3 linked regions of the Cricetulus griseus genome follow. The protein of the gene in region 3 purifies or fractionates together with the protein of the main gene of each other region. This does not show direct contact. Links are inferred from orthologs where the notes say so. Each region holds a gene or a part of one and is shown on either strand. Other genes may lie near its edges. The genes, in order: Gosr1, Nsf and Stx12.

Region 1 (3,651 bases), on a different chromosome or scaffold from region 3:
ATGCTTATACACCATAAGAGGGCACCAGATCCCATTATTGATGGTTGTGAGCCACCATGTGGTTTCTGGGAATTGAACTCAGGACTTCTGGAAGAGCAGTCAGTGCTCTTAACCTCTGAGCCATCTCTCCAGCCCAAATTGTAAAAATTCTTTAAAGATAGTTTTGTGTGCGTGCGTGTGTGTGTGTGTGTGTGTGTGTGTGTGTGTGTGTGTGTGTGTGTGTGTGCTTGTGTGCTTGTGTGCATGTGGGGGGGTGTGTACGCGCGTGAGCGTGCACGTGCGAAGCGTGCCAGAAGTCTAGGGTAAAAGAGGGGAGAGATTTTTCTACTCAGTGGTATAGTGGTTTTTGAGGAGGGGTCTCACTAGAACCTGGATCTTTCCAATTTAGCTAGGATGACCAGCCATTGAGCCCAAGGGCTCCTTTCTTCTCTGCCTTCTCACTGCTGAGATTGCAGGGGTACACTATCAACACCCATCTTTTTACAGCCTAACTGGGATCAGATAGTACTTTACTGGTAGATATCTCTCTCCCTTCCTCTCTCTTCTTCTTCCTCCCCCCCCCAACAAAGATTTAAATGTAGAAAAAGCATAAGAAAGGAGGAGAGGAAAGAAAAGCATCAAGTCCTGAATAGAGCCTAGATGAAATTTATAATTTCTGAGTAGTAAAGAGCTAAGGAAGATCTGATGTCAGAAACTACAAAAAAAAAAAATGGCTCATTTGTTTACTATGCACAGAAGTAATACAAATAAGAAAAACAAAAGGAAAATGGGCAGAAACTATAAACTTAATTGAAAACAAACTGAGGGTGTAGCTCAGTGGTGGAGCATGTGTTTTGCATTTGTAAAGTCCTGGGCTGGATCCCAACACTGAGGGGAAGGTGGGAATGGGGGCAAGGGTGTGATAAAAATAAGCCATATGCCTTTTTAAGTACACCACTGAGTAGAAAAATCTCTCCCCTCTTTTACCCTAGACTATTTGAAGTCATGATACGGTACTACGTGGTAGAATGCTTAGTGTTTTGAAATGTGTAACCTGATGAACATAGTCTACTACTTTAGAAGAATAAAAGAACATTAATAGTTTGTGTTGAAACTGGATGTCGATTTATTTCAGGATTATACACATGAATTCCATAAAACCAAAGCAAACTTTATGGCAATACGGGAAAGGGAAAATCTCATGGGATCAGTACGAAAAGATATTGAGTAAGTTACCTTTCATGTTACTGTATAAAATGTTTGTGTGGATTTAAGCTCTATCTGTGGTTAATTGCAAATTGAGTAGCAAAACCAGAATTTAGATTTTGGGGTTTTTGATTTCCATTCCATTGTCCTTTGTGCCTTGTTATAGTACTAGCTGAATCTACTTTGCCCTCTCCCAGTCTTCCCTTGCCAACCTTGCTCTTAAGTCCACCTTGAATGATCCCTTCCTGCTCACACTAAGAATGGCATGATGGCCAGTAACTGTCTATTTCCCCATCATTTGCTCCTCTCTGTTGCCCTGGAACTTATTTATTCTGATAGCTATCAACATCCCTGAAATTCTGAAACATTTGCATGTGGGCAGGAGTTTCCAGGTTTAATACAAAATCGAAACCTTATATGAAATTAAGGACTTTCAGCATTTTACAGTGATCTTCGTCCATAAGATTTGCTCTTTTCTTCTGTTCCTTCACATGATCCTTTTTGTAGGCATTCGTACAGTTCAGGAATTTTTAAAAAATTGTTCTTAAAGGCCAGTTGTGGTGGCCTAACTTAATCTCAGCACTCAGGAGGCAGAGGCAGGCACATCTCTATAAGTTCAAAGACAGCCTGTTCTATAGAGTGAATTCCAGGATAGCTAGGGCTACATGGAGACTCTGCCTCAAAAAGAAGGAGGAGGAGGAGAAGGAGGAGGAAGCGGAGGAGGAAGAGGAGGAAGAAGAAAAAAAAAGTGACAAAGAAAGTGTTCCTGATTCTTATTACTAATGGAAAGCAGGGAAATGGTAATATTGATAGAAGTAAATGTCATTTTTGCTAACTTTATTGTTTTGGCAATGAACATGGAATCCTGAAGTATGCCGAGATTGAACAGTTGGGTTTCAGTGTTCCTCAGGCTTTGGCTGGCCAGTGGCTGACACTACGGTGAAGTATAAAATGGTTTCAGTAGCTTTCTTGCCCCGTGTGCCATGTGCTAGTTAGTCTTAAGTTTTGCTTCTGTTGGAGAAAATGATGCAGAAGACAATACACAAAGGAAAGGTTAGGTCCCCTCATAAGAAGATTGGGTTGGTTCGGTGAAAAACGGAAAACCCCTAAATCTAAACTGGAGGAACATTTGTGTTTTATGTCTGTGATAGTATTTTTCAAGGGAAATGAAATGCATTATGTTCCAATAGTTTACTGGTCTCTTCTGCTATCACTAGGGTTAGTCCCTTAACCTGATGGTGCAGTATCTGCTAAATGTTCTTGCCTTTTCCTAATGTTGTTCTAGGTCATATAAAAGCGGGTCTGGAGTAAACAACAGGAGAACTGAACTGTTTTTGAAAGAACATGACCACCTTCGAAAGTGAGTACTACCTGATTTCCATGCTTGTAAAGACATTTATTTATAGTAAGGCCTTTGTGGGTGAGAATTTATCGCTGCTCCAAGTGGGTTCAGTGGAAATGGATGGCAGCTCATCAGCCATAATTAAAAGATCCCCTTTGAGAATTTTACTCTGTTCTTTGCCTGTTGTCTCTCTGCCTGCCTACTGCTATGTGGCTGTTATCCTTACTGCAAGTTATTAATGGGATCCGTAATAATAATGCTGATAATTTATGCTTGAATGGTCTCTTACCACTTATTTATTGAAGAAGATTTATAAAAGTTATTAAGACCAAAAATCAAATGGAAAAAACAAAACAAAAAAATTTGCTTCCCAAGATCTCAGCAGAAATGATTGGTGGCATATACATGCATTTTAAAACAAGTCCCCACATACTACTCTTGTGCCATCTATTTTTTACCATGATTTTTTTCCTTGTATTTTGTAGTAGAACTTGAGGATCAGAATAGTTGTCTCTGAGCTCAGCTTGTCAGCCCTTGAATATCCATAATAGTCAATGTTAGGATTAGTTTGCTACTGACTGTCATTAATTGGTTATGTCTGATAAGCTTAAGGTACTGTTGAATTTGTTTCCCTGTAAAGGCTACCACTTTAAATATAAACTGTTAAAATCAAGACACAAGAGGCTGGAGCAATAGCTCAGTAGTTAAGAATACCAGCTGCTCTTACAAAGAACCTGGGCTTAATTCCCAGCATCTATCTACATAGTGGCTCACAACTGTCTGTAACTGCAGTCCCAGGGAATCCAATGTCTTCTTCTGGACAACACAGGCCCAGCCACACATACACCCATACACATAAAAATGAAAAAAATATAGAGAGCAGGGTGTGGTGGTACATGTCTTCAATCCCAGCTACTTAGAAAAGAAAGTCAGAATGGTTGCTTTGTCCCAACAGTTCAAGACCAGTCTGGGCAACAGAGTAAGAGTGTATCTCAGCACATATGTGTAAATGCATGTACATGTACACACACATAGTGTTACCAAGTCTTGTACTTGGTGTTGAGGATTGAAGTCATGCTAGGCAAGTGCTCTTTCTGAACTATCCACTTGGCCAGTTAAGATCT
Region 2 (3,651 bases), on a different chromosome or scaffold from region 3:
CAGCAAAATATGGAACAGAAGTTTCAAATGTATCAAAGTTAGGGGGTCAGACTACAAAGAACCAGGAAAAAGTGTGAACAGCTAACAAAAGAACCATTTTCTCTCTTTGGGACTAGAATTACACATGAATCAATTGTCAAAGTTCTTTCTAAAAAATGGAACTGGCTGGAGCTCGCCGTAGTCAGTACATGCAAGTCTTCGCCCATTAACTATATTTAATATGTGTGAGGGACGACTTACTGACTTGCCTGTAGCTATGGAATTAAAAGTCAAGAGAAAGGGAGGAAAAAAGTAATCTAGATAAATGACTTTATTCCCTCAGGTGACATCCAGTCAGAGCAGATCCTCAGCACTGAGCAAGTTTTAACAAAATCGGGTACTGCGAGCAGCAAAAGCATGACTTCTTCCATTCTGCTGAACTACACGCCTCTCCACTCAGGCTCGGCTCCTGAGGCGGATCTAAAGAGAAGTCACTCAGCTGCACGGAATCCATTTGACGTGAAGGGGTTCAAACTCCAGGCCTATGGAGTGTCAGTCGCTGGAGATTAGGCCAAACGCCCCACTCTCACTTTCTACCCCACACACATAAGAGGTATTAACTTGATCACTGAGCTGCAGGCATCAAAGGAGGAGGAAGAGGGGGTGGGGAGAAAAACTTGCATAGTTTCTTCTATGCAATTATTTTAAAAGATTGTCCCGAAACTGAAAAGAGAAGGGTAGAGCTGACTTTCTGACAGATTTATCTTTTTTCAGGGACAGAGCCAATGCACCTGTATGTACGCATTTACCAGGAGTAAGCCTGAGCACCGCGCTCAGTCGACAGTTCTAATTTACTGCCCATAATGCAAAATACATAAATCGACTTAAAAACAGTTGCTGGAAGCTCGGGAAACTTTTGGTTTCTAAAAACCACAAAAATTTAATTTTAAATTAAGTTTATCAGAGAGAATTAAAACAATTCTCTCCATACTTCTTATTTATTAGTCCTAGAGCATCCTTCAGCTGTAAATGTGAAGCGAGGAACCCCCGCTGTTCACACTGGGAAGGACAGGGCTGCCCAGTGACACACAATGCTTAGGATAACTCCAACCTTTTTACTCAAGTCTGGGGATTGATCACTCACGCATTCATTCATTCATTCATTCACGTACCCATTCATTCATTAGAGGGAGATTTATTGAGCACTCTAGTTACATTCGGAGCTGGCCCTGGGGCCATGCACAGTGGGTGGCAGCCCGGGTGTGACACACAGACCTTAGTCTGCACACATGTGTGATGTACATGAGTGTGCACATGTACACGCATATGGAGGTAAGGAGTTCCAGAAGAAGGGAAGGAGTTGCCTTAGATACAAGGAAGTTCCAAAGCAGTCTCATCTCCCTGTGGGGATGACCATAGTGGCAGGTTTGGGCTGAGTTGTCTATGGGAATCTGGGTGCTTTAACCCTACAGTAGTCTGCATGAAACTTAGGGAGCTGGGCATGGTGGTGCACGCCTTTAATCCCAGACTAGGGAGGCAGAGGCAGGAGGATCTCTGAGTTTGAGGCCAGCCCATCTACACAGAAAGCTCCAGGACAGCCAGGACTACACAGTTTCAAAAAAACAAGAAAACAAAACAAAACAAAACAACAACAAAAAAAGAAAAGAAAAGAAAAGAAAAGACATATCTAGGAGTTCAGTCAGGGGACACACACAGAAGCCATGTCTAACCTGTACAGGTCACTGCGTCTGCCCTTACACGTCTCCAGGTCTGTGCAGGCATTGACTGGCCCTGACGTAGGGCACCACAGTAGAGAGTGTGTGACCTGGGCTAATTCACTGACAACCTGTGGACGTGGCACTCATATTTTCTAGATTGCTCTTTTGAAGTCTCTTCTAATCTTTAGACTTAATAACTCTCCACATCAAGACTAAAAGTCACACTGTGCTCTTCTCATCTGTTTCTGAAGATTAAGGGTGGCACCAGTGTCCCTGGGCCTTGGGAGAGGAAGGAAGGCCCTGCTGGTGGTTCCTGTGACTCACACAGAGGAGTTGCCTTACCTGCAGGGACATCTCAATCAACATTAGTAACTTCTTGATTCCTATCCAGACCTTCTTCCCTTTGACTTGCTGAGCAATTGTGGTGCGTTCCTTATCTTTGAAGTTGCCCAGAAGCTACAAAAGCAATAAACAACAATAAAGACACTTTTACAGTTCACATACCAACACATTCACCTTTAAGTGAAGAGTGGGAGGAGCTACCTGACTGGGTTGAACTGACTTCCCTAGTCATTTGTGACCACACAGGGCAAGGTCTTATTCCAGAGCCCAGACTCTCCTCAAACTCATGGAAATTCTTCTGCCTTAGCTTCCCTGTTGCTGAGATTACCTTGTCTGGAAGAGACGTGTCTTAAGCTTTTTTTTTTCTAGAGACCTCCAGTAAACTTAGACACATATTTGCTGGGGGAAAACAGCTCCAATCCATAATAAATATAAGTTAAATGTGTCAAAATAGACTAACTTTTTCTCTTACCCATCCCAGCTATAAAAGGCTGCTCAAACAAGTGACCCAGAAATACTTGTCATATGGACTTCTGCTCTGCTGGGAGCACACAGCCACTCCTAGGTACTCTGGGGAGCACAGCAACTCTTACATGCTGGGACCTTAAGAAGCCTCCCTGACTCTCCTCCACCGAACAACTTACATCATATTTTCCAGCAGATCTCATCTAGTCACTTGTGGACATTAATATTAATCAACACTTACTGAAAGACTCAGTTTTGAAATTAAAGGCTTCCAAGACTAAGGAGACATTTCTATGCAATAAAGTTGGGAAGTCTGGGTAGCTGTTTTGTAGTTCCAAAGCTTTAATCATTGTTCTGGTTTATTAAATGCAAAGAAAATGTGTTGTCAGTCATGATGAAGAAACAGTGCTGACTCCCCACACTGCACCGGTCCTGTCCCTGTCCCCGCTGTGTCATCTGCAAGCACTGAATTCTGGGAAGAGAGTGACTGACCCCTGCAGTCTGTGCTGCCCACACCCAGGAATGAGAAGTTTATCTGCTTTCCTTTGTGTCCTGATCTTCCTCTAGCTTCTGAAAAGCCTTGAAGGTAACACCCCAGAGTCCCGCATTCTAGTTTGATGTGCCACTAAATGCCAGTTGCTATGGCTGAGGACCCTTCGGCATTATCTCAGGCCTCAACTCCTTTCTGATAAACAGATTCTAACAGCGACTCATCTTTACCTCCAAAGCTTCCAGCAGCTGCTCTCCTGTGGCAATGTTGGGCACGTGGATGGTGGTGCTGAAGGCATTCAGCATCTCCATTTCCTGAAGGACATCTTTGCGGCTGGTGGTCCCGATGATGAGAAGCTTGCGGCCCTGGTTACCGAGAGAAAGATGTGTTTCAGTGCACCAAAAAAGACTAATGAGGAGACTGGAGGTAGCTTGAATTAAATGAGCAGAATCCACTTATTTGTGTATGTAAATGAGTATGCAAAACACACATAAAACCCCAGGATTTTCCAAATAAAACTAAACAAGGCATAGATGCCATAACTCAGAAGCAGCAACAATGAAGCTGGTCCTTCCTACTGATGCCAATAGACAAGGGACCAGTAAATCAAGAAATATTAAACCAAAGACACCAAAGTGAACACAACAGTGTTTCAGC
Region 3 (3,651 bases):
TCTAAATAAAAGAGACTCATTCTCACGGATGCAAAGTGACCATAAGTGAGAGAATAAATGGTCCAGTGGGAGAACTGATTTTTTGTTTTTGTTTTTGTTTTTTTTAAAGATCTTATTTATTACGTATACAACATTCTGCTTCCATGTATATCTGCACACCAGAAGAGGACACCAGATCTCATAATGGATGGTTGTGAGCCATCATGTGGTTGCTGGGAATTGAACTCAGGACCTCTGGAAGAGCAGTCAGTGCTCTTAACCTCTGAACCATCTCTCCAGCACAGTCACATTTTTCTTGACTTTATTTTTGCTTGTAAAGTTCTATTCTTGATCACTGGAGAGATGGTTCAGTGGTGAAGACATGGGTTCAGTTCCCAGCACTGAGATGGTGATTCACAACTGTCTATAGCTTCATTTTCATGGTATCCAACTCTCATTTCTGGCCTCTGTGGGCATTGCTCACATGTAGTGCACAGGCATGCATGCAGGCAAATCACCCATATACGTAAAATAATAAAGTAAAAATTTTATTCTCTGGGGCCAGCAGGATGGTTCAGCAAGTAAAGAAAAGTGCTTGCCATCAAGCCAGGGATCTGAGTTTGATTTTTGTAACTTATATAGTAGAAGGAAAAATCTAACTCTGGAAAGTTATTTCTAATGTCAGCATATTTCACATGCATCATGGCACCCCTGTGCCCACAAGCATACACACACACAAATGCACACACAGATAATAAACAAAAGTAATTTTTTAAAGTTTGATATGTGTGTGTGTGTATATATGTACATATGTTTATTTATTTTTTTCCCAAGACAAGGTCTCAGGCTGTCCTCAAACTCACAGAGATCTGCCTGCCTCTCCCTAGTGCTGGGATTAAAGGTGTGTGCCACCATCAGGTTCTCTATCTTTAAAGTCAACTGAGCTACATTACTCGTTTCCACTCTTAGACGCTGTGAAGTGAGAGAGTGACTGCTGTCACAGGGAGCAAATTCAGGGAGAGATGACCTGTCTGCATATGCTAGTGTTTCTGGGATGGTCTGGCTTCCTCTGCTGTCTCTCATGTTTTCTAATCCTAGCTGTCTACTTAAAGTGAAAAAAACGATGTGGTATCCCAGCCATTAAGGCTGCTGCAGTAATAGACCATAGACTAGATAGTTCATTAGCAAGCAAAATTTATTTCTTATAGTTCTCAAGGCTGAGGGGTGGTTGATCAAGGCTCTGGCATATACAGTGTCTAATGAGGGCCCTCTTTTTCATAGATAACATTTGGTTTTTGTTTTCCTTTTGGAATGGTCTTACTATCCTGCAGATCCATCTGCCTCAGTTACCTTAGTGCTGGGATTAAATGAGTATGTCCTTATGCTAGGCAGCTGATGCTTTCTTTTGGGGGGAGGGGAGACTGGTTTTGAGACAGGGTTTCTCTGTGGCTTTGGAGCCTGGCCTGGAACTCTGTAGACCAGGCTGGCCTTGAACTCACAGAGATCCTCCTGCCTCTGCCTCCTGAGTGCTGGGATTAAAGTGAGCGCCACCAAGGCCCAGCTAGTTGATGCTTTCTTATTGTATCCTCTCTTGGTGGAAGAGGTAAGTAGTTAGTTCTCTGGTGCCTCGTAAGGGGAATTAATGCTTTCACAAAAGGCCCACACATGCTAATCACTTTCTACTACCTCCTAATAACATCACTTGGGGGCTAGTATTTCAACATGAATTCAGACCATAGCCTATGACTTCTCTGTCACCCCTTAAAATCTTTGTAGAAATGGCCAGAGATTAGAGGAAACCATGATGGGAAGAACTTTTTATTTATTTATTATTTCTAAAGTATCACTTTTTTTTTTTCTTAGGGTTTCTCTGTAATTTTGGAGCCTGTCCTGCAACTTGCTCTGTAGACCAGGCTGGCCTCGAACTCACAAAGATCTGCCTGCCTCTGTTTCCCAATTGCTGGTTATCAAAGACGTGCACCACCACCGCCTGGCTCCATAGCATGACTTATATTTTATGTTCTTCCCTCTTGAATTTGCTTCTCTCTCCTTCCTTCCTTCTATCCTAGTATGTTGCAAACTGCTGGATTCAAATGCTGCTCCTATACCAGCCTCAGAGGAGCTGGGACTAGTGGTGAAGGCCACTGTACCCAGCATCGAGCTTCTTTATGTGTATTTTTTTATTGTGATTTTTTTTTTTTTTTTTTTTTGGTGTTAGATATTGAGCCCAGTATCTGGCACAAGAGGTAAGTGTTCTAAACAGCAGAGGGAAAAGCTATCAGGCATAAAATCCACTTTATTTATTTATTTATTTTGGTTTTTTGAGACAGGGTTTCTCTGTGTAGCTTTGGAGCCTATCCTGGCACTCGCTCTGGAAACCAGGCTGGCCTCGAACTCACAGAGATCTGCCTGCCTCTGCCTCCCGAGTGCTGGGATTAAAAGCGTGCACCACCAATGCCCGGCTCACTTTTTTTTTTTTTAAAGATTTATTTATTATGTATACAATCTTCTGCCTGCATGTCTGCCTGTTGGCCAGAAGAGGGCACCATATCTCGTAACAGATGGTTGTGAACCACTATGTGGTTTCTGGGAATTGAACTCAGGACCTCTGGAAGAGCAGTCAGTGCTTTAAATCTCTGAGCCATCTCTCCAGCCCCAGAAAGAACCCACTTTTGGACAAGAGATTAGGAATAGATCTTTGGAGTTTTTTTTCTAGGTATATAGGAAGCTGTTTCATGTAACCACCCTAGTCAGTGGACTATGGTAGGAACTGACCATGCAGAGCTCCTGGGGAGTGGTGAGACGTTTAAGTGAGTTCAGTGTATTAAAGCCATTAGGACTGGATGTAGGTAGTAATTACTCCTGTGTTTCTATCAGAATGCCGACATGCTTTTCTTCCCAAACAGCTGAAATTCCTGGCCTGTGCTTCCTTCAGCAGGTGTCATTGAGCATCTTTCTGCTCAGTGGAACTGCTTCAGTAATGAGGGTTTGTGAGCACAGGCATTGAAGCGCCTGTTTGAATGGCCCTCCCTTCCTTCCTTGCGCTGGGAGTCCCCGAGCGTGAAGTAATAGTGTGAGAGCTCTCGAGAAGCCATGGCATCCTGACACTTGTCTTCTCTCTTAGGCAACAGTTACAGCACTCCACAAATCAGCTCGCCAAGGAGACAAATGAGTTGCTAAAGGAATTAGGGTCTTTGCCCCTACCCTTGTCTGCATCAGAGCAGGTAGGTATCTTCTGTTTTGTTTATTAATAGAAAAGGACTTTATTCTGATAGAGTAGTGGGATGTGGAACAAAAGCTCTAGGAGGGCTCTGGTCTTGATAGATTTCTTTGAACTATAATTTCCTTACCACGTGCTTTAGTTTCAGTTCTGTTGTGATAAACTACTACAACAAAAAGCAACCTAAAGGAAAAGGTTTGGTTTTTTGTTTGTTTTGTTTTGTTGGTTTTTTTTTAGTTCACAATTCCAGGTTACAGTCTATTGTGGGAAAATCAAGGTAGCAGAACTTGAAGGCACTGGTCACATCTCATCCGCAGTCGAAGGAGAGAGAAATGAGTGCTTGCTTGTTCTTTTCCACATGTGTGCCCAGCTCTGCTTCTCCACCCTCCCACAGTTCACGATCTCCTGCCTAGGAAGTGATGCTGCCTACGGTGGGTTGGGTCCTCCTACAC

Evidence for each region.
Region 1: the proteins of Stx12 (region 3) and Gosr1 purify together in Homo sapiens (affinity purification with mass spectrometry; 3 studies listed by BioGRID and IntAct, counting the BioPlex papers as one, with this or other methods). This does not show direct contact. The link is inferred for Cricetulus griseus from reciprocal best matches to the Homo sapiens genes STX12 and GOSR1.
Region 2: the proteins of Stx12 (region 3) and Nsf purify together in Homo sapiens (co-immunoprecipitation; 4 studies listed by BioGRID and IntAct, with this or other methods). This does not show direct contact. The link is inferred for Cricetulus griseus from reciprocal best matches to the Homo sapiens genes STX12 and NSF.

The regions. Positions count from the first base shown.
Region 1 is NC_048600.1:90,189,292-90,192,942, reverse strand, and holds part of Gosr1 (Golgi SNAP receptor complex member 1), read left to right. Parts: intron 1-1,114; coding exon 1,115-1,206; intron 1,207-2,470; coding exon 2,471-2,545; intron 2,546-3,651. UniProt on the Homo sapiens protein: Involved in transport from the ER to the Golgi apparatus as well as in intra-Golgi transport. It belongs to a super-family of proteins called t-SNAREs or soluble NSF (N-ethylmaleimide-sensitive factor) attachment protein receptor.
Region 2 is NC_048600.1:116,868,958-116,872,608, forward strand, and holds part of Nsf (vesicle-fusing ATPase), read right to left. Parts: intron 3,360-3,651; coding exon 3,225-3,359; intron 2,154-3,224; coding exon 2,040-2,153; intron 1-2,039.
Region 3 is NC_048595.1:20,401,448-20,405,098, forward strand, and holds part of Stx12 (syntaxin-12), read left to right. Parts: intron 1-3,103; coding exon 3,104-3,203; intron 3,204-3,651. UniProt on the Homo sapiens protein: SNARE promoting fusion of transport vesicles with target membranes. Together with SNARE STX6, promotes movement of vesicles from endosomes to the cell membrane, and may therefore function in the endocytic recycling pathway.